2 linked regions of the Pelodiscus sinensis genome follow. The protein of the gene in region 1 purifies or fractionates together with the protein of each later gene. This does not show direct contact. Links are inferred from orthologs where the notes say so. Each region holds a gene or a part of one and is shown on either strand. Other genes may lie near its edges.

What was found.
Region 2: the proteins of MAX (region 1) and MNT purify together in Homo sapiens (affinity purification with mass spectrometry; 7 studies listed by BioGRID and IntAct, with this or other methods). This does not show direct contact. The link is inferred for Pelodiscus sinensis from reciprocal best matches to the Homo sapiens genes MAX and MNT.

The regions. Positions count from the first base shown.
Region 1 is NC_134714.1:129,403,480-129,412,340, reverse strand, and holds the start of MAX (protein max), read left to right. Parts: upstream 1-5,291; 5' UTR 5,292-5,444; coding exon 5,445-5,480; intron 5,481-5,559; coding exon 5,560-5,586; intron 5,587-8,861. UniProt on the Homo sapiens protein: Transcription regulator. Forms a sequence-specific DNA-binding protein complex with MYC or MAD which recognizes the core sequence 5'-CAC[GA]TG-3'. The MYC:MAX complex is a transcriptional activator, whereas the MAD:MAX complex is a repressor.
Region 2 is NC_134731.1:11,654,078-11,662,795, reverse strand, and holds the start of MNT (max-binding protein MNT), read left to right. Parts: upstream 1-4,423; 5' UTR 4,424-4,612; coding exon 4,613-4,685; intron 4,686-8,718. UniProt on the Homo sapiens protein: Binds DNA as a heterodimer with MAX and represses transcription. Binds to the canonical E box sequence 5'-CACGTG-3' and, with higher affinity, to 5'-CACGCG-3'.

The sequences.
Region 1 (8,861 bases):
TGCAGTCCTCACGCACCCCAATAGCCCAACTTCCTCCCAGAGCCTGTACCCCAGTGCCTTGCCCTAGCCCAGAGCCTGCACCCAGCACCCAAATTCTCACCCAGAGCCTTAGGCAAGTGGGGGGAGGGAGTTTGAGTGGGGAAGGGGGTGCGGGCTCTGGCTATTTTGGGCACCAACAGATTGAAGACTGGGTATTAGCGTCTGCTACCAAATCACTCTTGAGGACTAGCACGATCAGCTCCTTACACACCTATCAATAATTGTAGGAAAAAAGGTTGCATGATCATACACTGGAAATCTCATGCTGCCAGTACTAAAACATCCTTGAAATGTCTAAATAATATAGATAACAGTTTCCTAACTCACCAATTGTTGCATCCAACACAGGCCCCTCTACATTATATGTTGTCTTGACAGACACCAGAGGAACTGACAAAAATTAAAATGAATGATAACTTAGGATCGTGACCTGTGAACAGAATAAAGTCCATACCATATATATATATACAGGGCTCGACAATTAGGGCAGGACAATTTTAGCTTGGTGCGGCTGCGTAGCACGGTCAGCACATGCGCAGCGCGGTCTGCACATGCGTAGCGTGCGATTCCACATAGCTGGTGAGTAGGGCTCGCTGCCGCTTGGCGAGCCCTGTGTGTGTGTGTATATATATATATATATATATATATATATATATACACACACACACATTAGTTTCCTTAAAAGGGCCAGTTTCACAAACCTGAAAACAATTATAAGTGAAATCAGCTGGGAGGAAGATTTTAATCAGAAAAACATGAATGATAATTGTATGACAACATTTTACTAGATGCCCCAAAAGCCAAAATTAAGGAAGAAAACCACATTATTTAAAAATGACCTGATTTAGAAAGGAAATGAAGGCAACTATAAAAATGGTATATAACAGATGGAAGAAAAAAAGTGGATAGTAATGACTACAATCAGAAACTAGGAATTGTAGAAAATGGATAAGGGAAGCCAAGGGACACAAAGAGACCTTTATGGGCGAGAGTTCGGGACAAAAAAAGAAGGAGATTTTAAAAGTACATTAGGAACAAAAAGAATCCTAACAATGGTATTGGTCCATTACTAGATGGAAATGGTAGAATCTTATAAATATTTTAGAAAGTGTTTGTTTGTTTGTCCCAAAACATCTCAGAAACGGTAAGAGCTAGAAATACAACATTTTGCATGGATACTACTGATTTCCTAACTTAAATAACAGGATTGGTTATATTCCGAAATCCTCGTGGAATGAGGAGTAACGGTAGTTCGGACTAGGAAGCCTAGTCCGAACTACCTAGTTCATGCCGCGTGTAGCCGCGCTGCACGGGGTTCAAACGAGCAGGGATTTAAAAATGGCGGCGCCCAGTTTATGCAAATGAAGCCCGGGAAATTCAAATCCCGGGCTTCATTTGCAAGTGCAGTATGCCTACATTACCCCGCTAGTTCGAACTAGCGGGGTAGTGTAGACATACCCTAAGAGAAAAGTATTTCCAATCAAATATGCTATAATTGACGTAGTTCAATGAATTAGTGAACTGGCAAGATTTAGACGGAGCCTGAATCCGTAGAGAGGCCAATATAATTGACGTAGTTCATTCATCACACCTTTTACTATATTTTCCCCGGGCGACATCGGGTATTACTGTTAGTTATAAATAAACTTGCACAAAAGGCAAGTGTTCAATAAATATTTCTTATTGTATTTGGAGGGAAAAAGATGGTGTAGTCATGCTATATATTTTTTGGGGGAGAGAAACAAACTTGGCAAATGTGTTTCATGATGACAGTTGGTTAATAAAGTTGTCCTCTCTCACTGACATTTTCTCAATTTTAACCAAACTGAATGTGACTATACAAGGAGGAGGCAATTATTTATTTTGAAACTGGGAGCAGATACACACATTCCAAAAGACATTAGCACTGGGGCAAACACACCTGAAAAACAATCACCCAAGCTATGACATGTTCCCAGCTCTGTTACGACACACAGAGGAAAACAGCATCAGTGAAGAAAAAGCGAATGAAATGGAAAGTGTCACATCGTGACATCTCACTGTTCTGACAATTTTTGTCACCTGTTTCCCAGCAGAAGGGTTTGAAAATTGAAATGAAACGCGTTGGGTGAAAGATCCTTCTGCTTTTGGAAATCCTGGCTCAGTAACGGAGCTAAATGTGATTCCTGATCAAGAAAAAGTTGCTGCAATGCACCTGTGATCACACACTCAGAATATGCCACCAGACGTTGAAATGTGTCATCATTTTGGATAAGTGTTTTCAAAGACTATCCACTGTTACGTAAGATTAGTGTTCTGTTGTGGTCATGATTCATAACAGCCTACCCATGCACGCTGGGATTTTCAACTTTGACAAGGTTAAAAACAAAAGGAAGAAACTGACTCAACAGCTCACCTGAGGTGCATCTTTTGAGCCAGACTGGGCCAAGATCCTGATCAATAGGTAGGTCCACCCAGCACGTTATGTAAGTGAAAAGCCACTTTCCTGCATTTCTCCTGTATTTAAAAATGTTTTACAAGTAGTGTCACTGTCTACTTCTAAAGCTTCAGAGGGGGAGCCAAGTTAGTCTGTAAATGGAAAGACTTAAACAACAACAAAGAATCTGGCAGCACCTGAAAGACTAACAAAACATGTAGATGAGATCCTGAGCTTTCGTGGGCACAACTTCATCTGAAGAAGTGGGTTGTGCCCACGAAAGCTCATGATCCAATCTACATGTTTTGTTAGTCTTTCAGGTGCTGCAGGACTATTTTGTTGTTTTTTAAGTTTGTCTAATTCTATTGGAACTTGAAGTGATGAGGTTTAAGCTAGCATGTCTTGCTCTTTGTTGTGATTTGATGATATTATTGTTTGGGTTGTGGGAATAAGTATTTTGCTTCCACTGTATCTCTCTCTCTCTCTCTCTCTCTCACTCACTCTCTCACACACACACACACACTCTCTCTCTCTCTCTCTCTCTCACACACACACACACACACACACACACACACACACACACACACACACACACACACACACACACACACACACACACACACGACAGGGTTATTGGCAGAGGGTTGCCAGATACTTTCACAAAAAATACCAAACATGGCAGGAAAAAAAATAAAAACCACACAACCTCCCCCCGCCCAGTCACTGCACCTTTAAATCCCCACACTCCCCTGCCCCCACCAAATGCGGCAGGGGAGGAATGTCCCAAGCAGCCTTCCATCCAAGAAAAACAGAAAATACCGGACATTTTACATGTGCAGTATTTTCTGTTTTTTTTTTTATCAGACAGAGGCCACAAATACAGGACTGTCTGGGCCAATCCCAGACAACGTGGCAACCCTACGTTTGAAATCCAGTGCACAGCATGGAGGAGTTTGCTCAGCCTCAGTCCTTGAGTCTCCACAGGCTTCCTTGAGTGAGCCTCCCCTACTTCATTTGTGCCTCTCTCATACTTTCCCTCTCCTCCAGTCCTGCTGCTGGGTCCCAGCACTGGCTGTGAATTTGAGGGATGCTCCCGCTTCCATACTTCAAAACAAATGAAGGGGCCTTGAATTCACCATTCAGAGGAGGGCTCCACCCAGCTCCTCTCAAAGGACTCCTCCACAGCTGACCCAGTGCAAATAGATTTGCTGTCCTTATTTGTGTCCTGCCATCAGACCCACCCACAGCACTGCAGTCCTAAATACTAAAGTCACCCACACACTACTGTCCCGCCTGCCTTACGAGCTACCCCTTTTTATCCAAACCAGCACCTGGGCCCATCTTTCCGACACCTTCACATGGAGATCCAGGGATCAACGTGGCCCAAACTGAGCGCCTGACGTCCCCCCAAGCCAACTTCTCTTTTCTCTTTCACTGTGGACACTGCCCCGACAGTCCGGGCTTGGCCTCTCTACGGATTCAGGCTCCGTCTAAATCTTGCTAGTTCACTAATTCATAGATTCCAAGGTTGTGATAATCAATTGTGTCTTCCTGCCTAAAAGGGGAGAAAACTGCCCCCAAATAAATCCTGGGCAGGATCCCCCCCCAGTTCAGTCTTTGGGGACACTGGGCAGAGCCACCCCAGTGTGGGCATTGTGGGGTCTGAAGTCAGGGGCCACTATTCGGGGCATGTCTTTAGTGGGGGGAGAGGCCTTGGCCATTGTCCATCCACGTGGGTTGTGTGAGGGCCCTCCTTATGAAGTTGGTGGGGTCTATGCCCTCTAGGTGCAGAGAGCCTTGGCCACGGCCCTCCCCTCATGTAGATACTGTGCCCCCTAGGTGTGGTAGGGGCCTCTGCTGAGGGTGCAGGCTCTGGGTGTGACGGGATGAGAGGCTCGGGATGCAGGAAGAGGCTCAGGACTTGGACAGAGGATTGTGGTATGGCGGGGGAGTGAGGGTCGTGGGCTCTGGGAAGGAGTTTGGGTACAGGAGGAGACTCCGGGCTGGGATATGGGAGGTAGTCGGGGGTATTTGGACCTGGCAGCATCTGCTGCAGCTCCTAGGAAGTAGCACTCGAAAGTGCTGTCCCTGCAGCTTCCAGTGGTCATGGCTCCTAGCCAATGGGAGCTGCAGAGCCAGCACTCCACACGCTGCCCCCCCACCCACTAGTGACAGCTCCGCAGCTCCCATTGGCCAGGAACTGTTGCCAAGTGACAGCTGTGCCGCTCCCATTGGCCGGGAACTGGGACCACTGGGAGCTGCAGAGGCTGTGGACCGCACCTTCCCGTGCCTAGGAGCCGCAGGGGTCTGGGAGCTGGGTGGAGCCAAGGGGGCTGGGCCCCCTCCCTGCTACCCACCCGACTTGTAACCGCCCAGGTGGCTGGGCCTTTCCGCCGGGCGCTCCAGCCAAAAACCAGCTGCCTGGCCAGGCCACCCGACCCCTGGTGGGCAGGCGCCTGGGAGACCCCCATTGCTGTGCAGGGTGGGGGGGGCTGGGGCACCCAGCGAGGGCTCCGCGCCCCCTAGGTAGGGCAGCAGCCCTGAGCACCGCCCCTCCCCCCCCCGGGAGGTGCTGAGCAGGGTGGGGAGCCGCGCAGTCCCCGCCTCCCATCCACGTGTCCTCTTCCCCGCCGAGTCCCTTCCTCCTCGCCCGAGACTACAACTCCCGGCGTGCGCCGCGCCGCCGCCTCTGCGCCGGCGCCGGGGGCTGCGGGGCCGCGCGCGGGGCCCGCCGGGGGCTGTAGTGCGCGGCGCCGGCCTCCCGCTCGGCGGCCGCGGCGCGGCGGACTCCAACCCCCAGCAGGCCCCGCGGCGGGAGGCGGCGCTGGCGGTCACGTGGCCGGGAGAGAGGGGGGGGCGGCGCACGGTGGAGCAGGCAGCGGCGGCGGCGGCGCGGCTGGGGCTGCGGGAGGCGGCTGCGCGGTGCGGGCTGTTGTTGTGGCGCCCCGCCCGGCTCGGCTCGGCTCGGCGCGCCCGGAGGCCCGGCAGCATGAGCGACAACGATGACATCGAGGTGGAGAGCGACGTGAGTGGCGCCCCTGCCCCCCCCGGCCCGCCGGCCGCCCGCCAGTAACGCGAGTGTCTCTGTCTCTCTCTTATTGCAGGACGAGCAGCCGAGGTTTCAGTCTGCGGTACGTGCTGCCTTCGCGCCCCGCCCGGCCCGCGAGCGCCAGCGCCGGGGGGGCAGGCCGAGTGCGCCGCGGGCGGGCCGGGGAGCGGACCCAGCTGGCGCTGGGCTCATGTGATCCCGGGCGGACGGGGGTGAGCGGCCGGGGCTGGCGTCCAGGCAGGGAGATGAGTAGGGGGGTCCGGGACCCAGCAGAGCCGGTATCAGGCGATGTGTAGGGGGGTCCGGGACCCAGGAGAGCCGGTATCAGGCGATGTGTAGGGGGGTCCGGGACCCAGGCGAGCCGGTATCAGGCGATGTGCAGGGGGGTCCGGGACCCAGGAGAGCCGGTATCAGGCGATGTGCAGGGGGGTCCGGGACCCAGGCGAGCCGGTATCAGGCGATGTGCAGGGGGGTCCGGGACCCAGGAGAGCCGGTATCAGGCGATGTGCAGGGGGGTCCGGGACCCAGGAGAGCCGGTATCAGGCGATGTGCAGGGGGGTCCGGGACCCAGGAGAGCCGGTATCAGGCGATGTGTAGGGGGGTCCGGGACCCAGGAGAGCCGGTATCAGGCGATGTGCAGGGGGGTCCGGGACCCAGGAGAGCCGGTATCAGGCGATGTGCAGGGGGGTCCGGGACCCAGCAGAGCCGGTATCAGGCGATGTGCAGGGGGATCCGGGACCCAGGAGAGCCGGTATCAGGCGATGTGTAGGGGGGTCCGGGACCCAGGCGAGCCGGTATCAGGCGATGTGTAGGGGGGTCCGGGACCCAGCAGAGCCGGTATCAGGCGATGTGTAGGGGGGTCCGGGACCCAGGAGAGCCGGTATCAGGCGATGTGTAGGGGGGTCCGGGACCCAGGCGAGCCGGTATCAGGCGATGTGCAGGGGGGTCCGGGACCCAGGAGAGCCGGTATCAGGCGATGTGCAGGGGGGTCCGGGACCCAGGCGAGCCGGTATCAGGCGATGTGCAGGGGGGTCCGGGACCCAGGAGAGCCGGTATCAGGCGATGTGCAGGGGGGTCCGGGACCCAGGAGAGCCGGTATCAGGCGATGTGCAGGGGGGTCCGGGACCCAGGAGAGCCGGTATCAGGCGATGTGTAGGGGGGTCCGGGACCCAGGAGAGCCGGTATCAGGCGATGTGCAGGGGGGTCCGGGACCCAGGAGAGCCGGTATCAGGCGATGTGCAGGGGGGTCCGGGACCCAGCAGAGCCGGTATCAGGCGATGTGCAGGGGGATCCGGGACCCAGGAGAGCCGGTATCAGGCGATGTGTAGGGGGGTCCGGGACCCAGGCGAGCCGGTATCAGGCGATGTGCAGGGGGGTCCGGGACCCATGAGAGCCGGTATCAGGCGATGTGTAGGGGGGTCCGGGACCCAGGAGAGCCGGTATCAGGCGATGTGCAGGGGGATCCGGGACCCAGGAGAGCCGGTATCAGGCGATGTGCAGGGGGGTCCGGGACCCATGAGAGCCGGTATCAGGCGATGTGTAGGGGGGTCCGGGACCCAGGCGAGCCGGTATCAGGCGATGTGCAGGGGGATCCGGGACCCAGGAGAGCCGGTATCAGGCGATGTGCAGGGGGGTCCGGGACCCAGGCGAGCCGGTATCAGGCGATGTGCAGGGGGGTCCGGGACCCATGAGAGCCGGTATCAGGCGATGTGCAGGGGGGTCCGGGACCCAGGAGAGCCGGTATCAGGCGATGTGTAGGGGGGTCCGGGACCCAGGAGAGCCGGTATCAGGCGATGTGTAGGGGGGTCCGGGACCCAGGAGAGCCGGTATCAGGCGATGTGCAGGGGGGTCCGGGACCCAGGAGAGCCGGTATCAGGCGATGTGTAGGGGGATCCGGGACCCAGGAGAGCCGGTATCAGGCGATGTGCAGGGGGGTCCGGGACCCAGGAGAGCCGGTATCAGGCGATGTGCAGGGGGGTCCGGGACCCAGGAGAGCCGGTATCAGGCGATGTGCAGGGGGGTCCGGGACCCAGGAGAGCCGGTATCAGGCGATGTGCAGGGGGGTCCGGGACCCAGGAGAGCCGGTATCAGGCGATGTGCAGGGGGATCCGGGACCCAGGAGAGCCGGTATCAGGCGATGTGTAGGGGGGTCCGGGACCCAGGCGAGCCGGTATCAGGCGATGTGTAGGGGGATCCGGGACCCATGAGAGCCGGTATCAGGCGATGGGTAGGGGGGTCCGGGACCCAGGAGAGCCGGTATCAGGCGATGTGTAGGGGGATCCGGGACCCAGGCGAGCCGGTATCAGGCGATGTGTAGGGGGATCCGGGACCCAGGAGAGCCGGTATCAGGCGATGTGCAGGGGGGTCCGGGACCCAGGAGAGCCGGTATCAGGCGATGTGTAGGGGGATCCGGGACCCAGGCGAGCCGGTATCAGGCGATGTGTAGGGGGGTCCGGGACCCAGGAGAGCCGGTATCAGGCGATGTGCAGGGGGATCCGGGACCCAGGAGAGCCAGTATCAGGCGATGTGCAGGGGGATCCGGGACCCAGGCGAGCCGGTATCAGGCGATGTGTAGGGGGGTCCGGGACCCAGGAGAGCCGGTATCAGGCGATGTGTAGGGGGATCCGGGACCCAGGAGAGCCGGTATCAGGCGATGTGTAGGGTGGTCCGGGACCCAGGAGAGCCGGTATCAGGCGATGTGTAGGGGGGTCCGGGACCCAGGAGAGCCGGTATCAGGCGATGTGCAGGGGGGTCCGGGACCCAGGAGAGCCGGTATCAGGCGATGTGCAGGGGGGTCCGGGACCCAGGAGAGCCGGTATCAGGCGATGTGCAGGGGGGTCCGGGACCCAGGAGAGCCGGTATCAGGCGATGTGTAGGGGGATCTGGGATCCAGGGCGAGCCGGTATCAGGCGATGTGTAGGGGGGTCCGGGATCCAGGCGAGCCGGTATCAGGCGATGCAGGCAGGGAGATGTGTAGGGGGATCCGGGACCCAGGCGAGCCGGTATCAGGCGATGCAGGCAGGGAGATGTGTAGGGGGATCCGGGACCCAGGAGAGCCGGTATCAGGCGATGCAGGCAGGGAGATGTGTAGGGGGATCCGGGACCCAGGCGAGCCGGTATCAGGCGATGCAGGAAGGGAGATGTGTAGGGGGATCCGGGACCCAGGAGAGCCGGTATCAGGCGATGCAGGCAGGGAGATGTGTAGGGGGATCCGGGACCCAGGCGAGCTGGTATCAGGCGATGCAGGCAGGGAGATGTGTAGGGGGATCCGGGATCCAGGGCGAGCTGGTATCAGGCGATGCAGGCAGGGAGATGTGTAGGGAGATCTGGGATCCAGGGCGAGTTGGTATCAGGCGA
Region 2 (8,718 bases), on another chromosome or scaffold:
GGCATCCTCACTGAAGAGGGTGCCTTACTAATCTGCTAGAGTTCTTTGAGGGGGGTCAGCAAAAATGTGGACAAGGGGGATCCAGTGAAGATACTGTACTTAGATTTCCAGAAAGTCTTTGACAAGGCCTCTCACTAAAGGCTCTTAAGTAAAGTAAGTTGTCATGGGATAAGTGGGAAGGTCCTTTCATGGATTGATAACTGGTTAAAAGACAGGAAGCAAAGTGTGGGAATAAATGGTTAGTTTTCAGAGTGGAGAGAGGTAACTAACGGGGTCCCCCAAGGGTCTGTCCTGAGACCAATTCTATTCAACTTATTTATACATGATCTAGAGAGAGGGGTAAACAGTGAGATGGCAAAATTTGCAGATGATACCAAACTGCTCAAGATAGTTAAGACCAAAGCAAACTGTGAAGCGCTTCGAAAAGATCTCACCAAACTAAGTGACTGGGCAACAAACTGGCAAATGAAATGTAATGTTGATAAATGTAAAGTAATGCACATTGGAAAAAATAATCCCAACTATACATACAATATGATGGGGACTAATTTTGCAAGATCTCTCTCTATCCCCTTTTTAATGATTCCTAACATTCTATTTGCTTTTTTGACTGCCGCTGCACATTGAGTGGATGTTTTCAGAGAACTATCCAGTGATGGCTACTTTATACAAAAAAAGGTTGAGAAACACTGGGCTAGATGGCTTGTTAGTTTGACCCAGTCTAGTGGCTGTTATGTTCTAAAACAAGTGGAGCTGAGTGATGGTGCTTTGCAAGATCAGGCCTTTATTTTTTAAGCCTTTGGTGCTGATTTTTTTACACCACCTGTGGCGCTCGCAGGCTGCTTTCCCTTCTCTGTGCAGGGATGAATCACGCCAGGGAACTCCCTGTATTGAAAGGCAGGGCAGAGCCAGCTCCATTTTCCCCTGCGCTGCGCGAACTTCCCTGTCGAGCCGCCTCACGTGTTTCCCCGGCGGGGCCCTGGGAGAAATGGCGCACGGGCCCTTTAAGGAGCAGGCTTGGCCAGCGCAAGCCATGACTAGACAGATTATCCTGCCCGAGGTGACTGTGCTCCGCCTCCCTCTGCCAGATCAGGCGGCTGGTGTAAGGCCCGGAGCTCCGCCCCCCTCCACGTTGGGTTGCCTGATTTACTGGGGAGGGTGAAACGCCGCAGAAGAGGCGGCTTTGCCTTTCCCCTCCTCCCCCCGCCTGCACCCCCCCCCCCACCTCTTCCTCCTCCATCCTCCAAATGCAGCAGCCTCCGCCAGCAACATCCATCACGAGGCTGGGAGAAAGCCAGTGCGGGCAAAAACTGGGGCCAAGGGCTTGGGGAGACTGTGCAGCGGGGAGGCTGATCTGGGCGCTTTTTGGGCCATAGGCATCACGCTGAGCCTGCCCGCTGGGGCGTGCGTGGCTGCTTGATCCTCGCAAATACACCCTCCCCCCAGGGATCAAACACCTGCAAGGGAGCGGGAGGGGCCTTCCTCTCTCCTGGGATTGCCGATCGCCTAACGTCAAAGGGAGCCGTCCCCGAGGTTAACGCACCTGGCGCTGTGCCCCCAGCACCGTTCGCGGCATAGGTGTTCAGTGTGAGCACCCCCCGGACTACAGCCCGCTGAACCCCCTCTCCCCCATACGATGCCTTGCGCAGCGCACGGGAAAGCACCGATTCCGTGGGCGCATGGAACCGAGAGCGCGTCCGCTGCGGGGTAGGGGGAGCGCACCCCAGGGCGCCGGGTGTCTGGGCTCGGCCGGGTATTTTACAGCCTTCGGGGCTCCATGTTGCAGCAGCTCCCGGTGCATCTCGCAGCCCGCGGGGCTGCCGCCGACTTGCTCGGCGGCCGGGTGCCCTGGATTGGAGGTAATTCCTTTGGCTCCGTAACCAACGCAGCGCGCCCCGTTGGCTGCGGGGACCTCCCCTTCCCGCGCCCTGCAGTTTTCTGACCCTGGCTGAAACATCTCCCGGGAGCGCCGTGTTCAGAGCATTTTAGGCTGTTTCATTCAGCCGCAGCCTCCCCCTTTCTTCGAGGCCCCCTGCGGGTGCGAATCTCCGTCCCAGGAGCGTGGGAAGGAAAAACCCTCTCCCGGTGGCACACTGATGGAGGCGCAGCCATCAGGGTTCACCGGGGGTAACGTGCCCTCCTCCTCTTCTAGTGCGCTGTTCATGGCTGCTGGGGAAACTCCGAGGGTGGCTGGCCCTTTAAAGGAGACGCCGTCGGAGGCAGACGGAGCAGGGTGCCCATGTGGAGCTGCTCCATGCCTTGTTGTTTTCCAAGCGGATTGGCTCGGGGCAGGATGACATATTGTAATCGGATGCAAACGCACTGCGGGGGGAGGAGCAGGTGGAAAACCCGGCGCCAGGACTCACCTCTCATCCTCTTGCAACCAGACCTGGGGTATCATTTAGTACAAAATAATAGTGCATGCAACTCATGGAGTTGTCTCGTTCTCTGTCAAAGTAATCGCAAAGCAAGAGGCACCCCTCCTTCCCAGGAACGAACCAAGTAAAAGAAACTGGCACTCAGCAACTGAAAACAAGCCTGTCTGTAAAAATAAATGTGGGTTTCTTTTTTGCCCTGCAGAAACATCTGATGTAGCCTTAATGGGTATTTGTACCCTGTTGTGTATACTTACCTTCCTGTGCTGCAAGGGCAGGAAGTGAATTCAGTGATCTATTTGGCCTTTTCCATTTACATAATTTATCTTGTCCTGAATTACACATGGAACCTTATTTGTTTTCAATGATAGCTACAGGCATATATGAATAATTATGATCACATGTTCTCTTCTGTTTCATCTACCCTGTACATTCCCATTTGCAAAGTTCATACTGATGTGATGGGACAATACCCTTCCTCTTTCTAGGAACCTAGTGCTGAATATTGAGCAAAGGGCGGTCTTGCAGAACCAGTAACTGCATCATTGTCATGGTTATATAAGAACATAAGAACGGTCGTACTGGGTCAGACCAAAGGTCCTTCAAGCCCAGTATCCTGTCTACCAACGGTGGCCAGCACCAGGTACCCCAGAGAGGGTGGACCGAAGACAATGATCAAGCGATTTGTCTCCTGCCATTTCTCTCCAGCCTCTGACAAACAGAGGCCAAGGACACCATTTTATCCCCTGGCTAATAGCCTTTTATGGACCTAGCCTCCATGAAATTATCTAGCTTCTCTTTAAACTCTATTATAGTCCTAGCCTTCACAGCCTCCTCTGGCAAGGAGTTCCACAGGTTGACTACACGCTGTGTGAAGAAGAACTTTCTTTTATTAGTTTTAAACCTGCTACCCATTAATTTCATTTGGTGTCCTCTAGTTCTTCTATTTAGGGAACTAATAAATAACTTTTCTTTATAGGCCCTCTCCACACCACTCATGTTTTTATGAAACACCACTCTTTTGTTTTTATGAAAGACCTGTCATTCATACTGACTTCTATTACAGTTAGAGGTATTTTCAAATAATTCATGAAAGAAGAGAAAAATCAGCTGATGTGGAAATTCTAAGATCTCTGTCAGTTTGTGTTAATAAAATGTCAGGTGACTGATTTGTGTAAGCCAGGGTGTCCAACACACTAGCCCCATGTGACTACTTGGCTGGTAAAGTGTAGCTAGTTGGCTTGAACAATGTGGCTGTTTGACCAGTTGAGTGGGGCTAGATTGCTATATAACTGGTTGGACACCAGGGCTGTATCTTATTTAGGTCCTGGTTTTCAGCAGTGTGAAGCACCCATAAATCCAGATGAAGTTCTTAACACCAGAGCTGGAGGTACTTAACCCCACTGAACAATCAGGTCCCAATAAATAATAACTGCAACACCTGAGGTTGCTGACCGGAAATATTCTGTGGGCAACAATACTGCAGGGAAAGAGAACAGAGAGCAAAATGACCTAATTTCCCCTCCCCCATCTATAATTATTATAATTAATAATTATATTGAAAGCAAGGGGTACCCTCCACCTGCTCAGACCCAGTCGGTAACATGCAGACCAAAGCCAGTCTAATTTGTGAGACAGAATCTTTTTGGATTAAAGTGTAGATAGATGTGTTTGATTTATTTATTTGTATTTATTTAAATATTTTACCCCCCCATTCTATTTGATTAGTGATAGATAGTTCACAACTAAGTTAGAACAAAGTTCCATGAAGATAGTCTTATCTGACCGTTTGAGTGACTCACTCAAATCCATCAAGAAAAGGAGAATTAAAAAAAAAACACATTTAATTGATCCCAAATAAGAGCCTTGGCCGATCTGCTCCCTTTTGTAGCAAGAGTTTTCACTCAAACCTGCAGTGGTTAAACTCCACCCCTGCAAAATGGCATTGACGAGTTCCAATCCAGTGACCTACACCGATCCAGGCTGGGTTTTGTCTGCAGCTGTCTGTATAGTAGCCGAGGGCAGTGTTAGGCCTTTTTTCTTGTTGTGTTTCTGTTACATACTCATCGCCATCTTGTTGCAAACCCTTTTCTTGTCTGGAAGATTCGCAGGGGATCGGGGGTGGGGGGGTGGTTTGATCAGGCATTTTGACTTGGGAGAAGAAAAGAAGAAGGAGACCTCCCGGTTTTTTTAAGTCTCCAAGATTTTGGATCCTCCACTGAAAGGCAACCCAAGAGATGAGCATTGAGACGCTTTTGGAAGCGGCCAGATTTCTGGAATGGCAAGCCCAGCAACAACAGAAAACACGTGGTAAGGGGGGGACAGCATGTAAAATCGGAATTAGAGCGGTTTAAAGACACAGGACACCATTTCCCCAAAGCGGGGGGAAATATAGTCTTTATTTTTAGAAGAAAGCAGCCTTACTTTCAGCCACCCGCCGCTGCACTGCGTGTTACCGACTGGGTCTGAGGCGGGTGGAGGGTACCCCTTGCTTCCAAAGCGGATTTTGTAAGAAAAAAGCACGGTCTGCAGTCCGTTCCAAATCATTCTATGGAATGATTGCAAAGGGGCTTGGAGATAAACCAGCCTCCCTTTAGCCTTGGGAATCAGCTCTGGACCAGGCAAGTCTTTAATTTGGGATGGAGTGGAGCATTTAGTAGCGATGTGCTGACACATGCTTGTGGGCGATCGGAGAGGCTTGGTTTTCCGGAAGATTAGCTGTCTCTCACCTTTCCTCTCTCATTCATCTGTATGTATGTACAATGCACAGACTCTTACTCGTAGGAGGGGAGTCTGCCAAAGCACTTTTTTTTTTCTTTGCTGAAATGGTGAAAACGATCGTGTTCAGAAAGGAAGAATCACCGAAGCCTTATTTTTTGGGTCAGAACATAAAGCTGTGTTAAGAATGTGTATCTCTGCTGGTGGGTTGGGAGGGAGTAGTTATGCGCCAAAATGACCCCCCCTAAATCTGCCTTCATAGATTTGCTTTGCAGTTGAATTCTTAGAATGATCCTTGTTCTATTTAACGTGTGCATGGCTTTTTTTTGTTCCTTGTGGGGGAAAAAAAATCTATATTTCAGGGCTTAGGGCGGTGGCAGTTCTCCAGCAGAGCTGAGCGAGGGGAGGTTGCTTTTTGCATAATGAAATGACATCGAGTGTCATATGATACACGCCACACAGTTCCTCCCTCCCTCCCTTTTTTGTGTGTCTGCCTTCCTGGAAATGTGCAGAGGGGAACCTTGGGTGGTTCTCCTTCCTCCCCCCCGCCAATGGTGGGATGGGGTGGGTGGGGAGAGCCCTGATTCCGTCTGCGGGGGGGGGGAAGGATCAGGCCAAGGCTGGGATGCCTTTCCTTTCGCATTTGGAATCTAGGGTGCTGCTGGCTCGCCGCGTTCCAAACTAGTGCGTTCCATTGGGGGGGGGGGGGGAATGACGTGTCAGGCCCCGCCCTCTACCACGTGCGCCGCCGACACTCCCTGTGGGGCTTTTGTTGGGTTGGGCCACAGCTGTGCTTTCGTTCTGAGCGGGGAGTGTGTGCCCGGTGGGGGAAGGGCTGCTCCATTCCGGGGAGGGGGAGGAGTCAGAAGTGCAAGGGGGGGGGGGGTTAAAGAATAATTTACACCCTGCTGCTGGTCTGCTCATTCATGTGCCAGTGCAGTTTATCCGGGCATCTCTTGCTGCAGGAAGAACCAGGCTGCACCCCCAGGAGTTTATAGTATATATGGGATTAAAAATAGAGCAGCAAGAACTGTACTTCGGTATTTTCCCTCCAGCTTATCTCCCTCCCCCCTCCCCATGTGATCTTCATCCTGCAGATAGTAAGGGGTGTGCACTAGAGTGGTGATTATTTCATTTCTTAGGTTGTGGTGACATTCACTGTATGCCATCCAGAAGTCAGCCACTTGCAGCCCACTGGGCCGTGTGTGGCCCATGAGGTGTTTTTGTTTACCGTTGCCTGGGCACCGGGTTGCCAGAGTCTGCTGGTTTTTGCCCACCTAGTTTTTTAAACTTGAAGGGCACACAAAGTGAGGGGCGTGCTGATTTCACACAAAGCTGAGTGTGAGAACCACGCACTCCCTCTGCATTGAATCAAAGTGGTGCTACAATTCAGTCGGCCCATCCCACATATCCTAAGTGCACAAGTACACTTGGCTAAAATACCCTGTCCCAGGAGACGGTCTTGGTTACCACTATCTTGTGGCTCGCTGAGATGAAGGAGGGCTGCTCATGCGGCCCACTCACTAGCCTAAGTTGTCCTTCACTGTGCTACACAAAGGCAGGCTTTTAGGTGCATCAATCTGTCTTCCAATTCCCACTGGCTTGCAGGGAGATGCCTGCAATGTTTTGATCAAGACGAGAAGGGTAGTTTTAAAATCATCATTCTGGGTGCTGCTGCATGTGTGTGTGTGTGTGTGTGTGTGTGTGTGTGTGTGTGTGTGTGTCTCTCTCTCTCTCTCTCTCTCTCTCTCTCTCTCCAATTCTTCCTTTGTGGGGATATTTTTGGTGGAGTGGATGTGGAAATCTCAGTCTACTTGAGTTTTAGATATTGGCCTGTATCAAGATGTGCCAAATAAAAAATGAACCCAGGACTTTTATTGGCATTCATAATAGTGGGAGTGTATGGGCAGGATTAGACCTCCTGCAGGAGGTACCATAGGGTTAGGCATCCCCACTTCCAACCTGTTATCTTTTCATCACATGGTAGCATAGTTGTAGGTGCGGATGATACCTGGCTACTTGGCAAGAATGCCATCTTTCCTGATTGATCGCCGAACTTGCTATCAACCTTAACCCTGGCATCATTCACTTTTTCTGTAACAAGTGTAACCTTTTCAAAACGAGATTAAGTGTGTATCTATGTGTGGCTAGATTAGCAGTGCATTAATACAGTAAGTGGGCTTTCAATTAATTCTAATCAAGCAAAGGTGCTTGAAAATATTACAGTTGCATTTTGGGATTCCCCTTTTTATTTATTCATTTTATGTGTGTGTTGTCAAAGCAGTTGGAGCGATAATGCAGCATTAGCTCAGTGACACTACCTGCTGCAAAAGCAAGAAGGAACAGCTCTCTTTGTATGTCATTGCTGTGGGATGCAGACGAAAATCTATTGTTTCACTGATGAGTCATGCAGGAGATAGTGGATGTGGTGAAGAAAGGCAGCTTGGAGACATGAAAGACCAGACAGCTTTCTGGTTAACTAAGAAGGAAAAATCATCAGTGTAGGCTAGTGGGCTAACATGTCGTCTTCCGAGCCAGAGCTAATGTCATCGCTGAAGCTGGGAGTTGTACCTGTAAACTGAAGCTTTAGGATGAATTTTTTTTAAAAAAAATCCATGTGCACATTTAAGATGATGGTTTTACAGCCTCCATATTCCAACTTGCTCCCTGGTTAGTGTTAATGTTCCTAGCTCCACAGCAAGTGCACCCTAGAAATAGAAGAGATGAAATATGTGAGACGTGGTGGCAGGCATGCATGGGACGATAATTTCTCAGGTGCCCCAAAATATGGGAGGCATAGCGCAGAACAAGTAGTGGTAGGGTCCCAGCTGTGTCTGGCAAGGTGAGGTCAGCAAGACACAACAAAGGAATGTCACAGGCACACAGGAGCAGGTGGGGATTGCATGAGAGAGCAGGAACAAGAATGACTCCGGTCACGCAGCTTGTTAGCTGCAGGGGACATTTGTTAAAAACAGGGTTTGTGGCGGAACAGAGCTTGAGGAAGGTGATTAAGCAGACAGGGCCAGAGGGGGCTTTCCAAGCACAAAGAGTGCCATGACCAAGCACAGGGGTGCCTTCTTAAGTCTGTAAGCCCTTTGGGGGCAGGGATGGTCTTTTTCTCTGCTTGCTGGCGCCTGATCCTGAGTGGGCTCTTGGGGTGCTACCACACTAGAAATATTTACTACTGGTGCTAAGAGAGGAGGTCTCCATGCTGGCAGAATAGGGAGGTCACGTGGCAAGGGAGAGTCCACGTGAAAGGAGACCAGGTCAGAGACACAGGGGCTACGTCTAGACTGGCATGATTTTCCGCAAATGCTTTTAACGGAAAAGTTTTTCCGTTAAAAGCATTTGCGGAAAAGAGCGTCTAGATTGGCACGGACACTTTTCCGCAAAAGCACTGTTTGCGGAAAAGTGTCCGTGCCAATCTAGACGCGGTTTTGCTCAAGAAAGCCCCGATCGCCATTTTTGCGATCGGGGCTTTTTTGCGCAAAACAATACCACGTTGTCTACACTGGCCCTCTTGCGCAAAAGCATTTGCACACGAGGGCTTTTGCCCGAACGGGAGCAGCATAGCATTTCCGCAAGAACACTGACAATCTTACATGAGATCGTCAGCGCTTTTGCG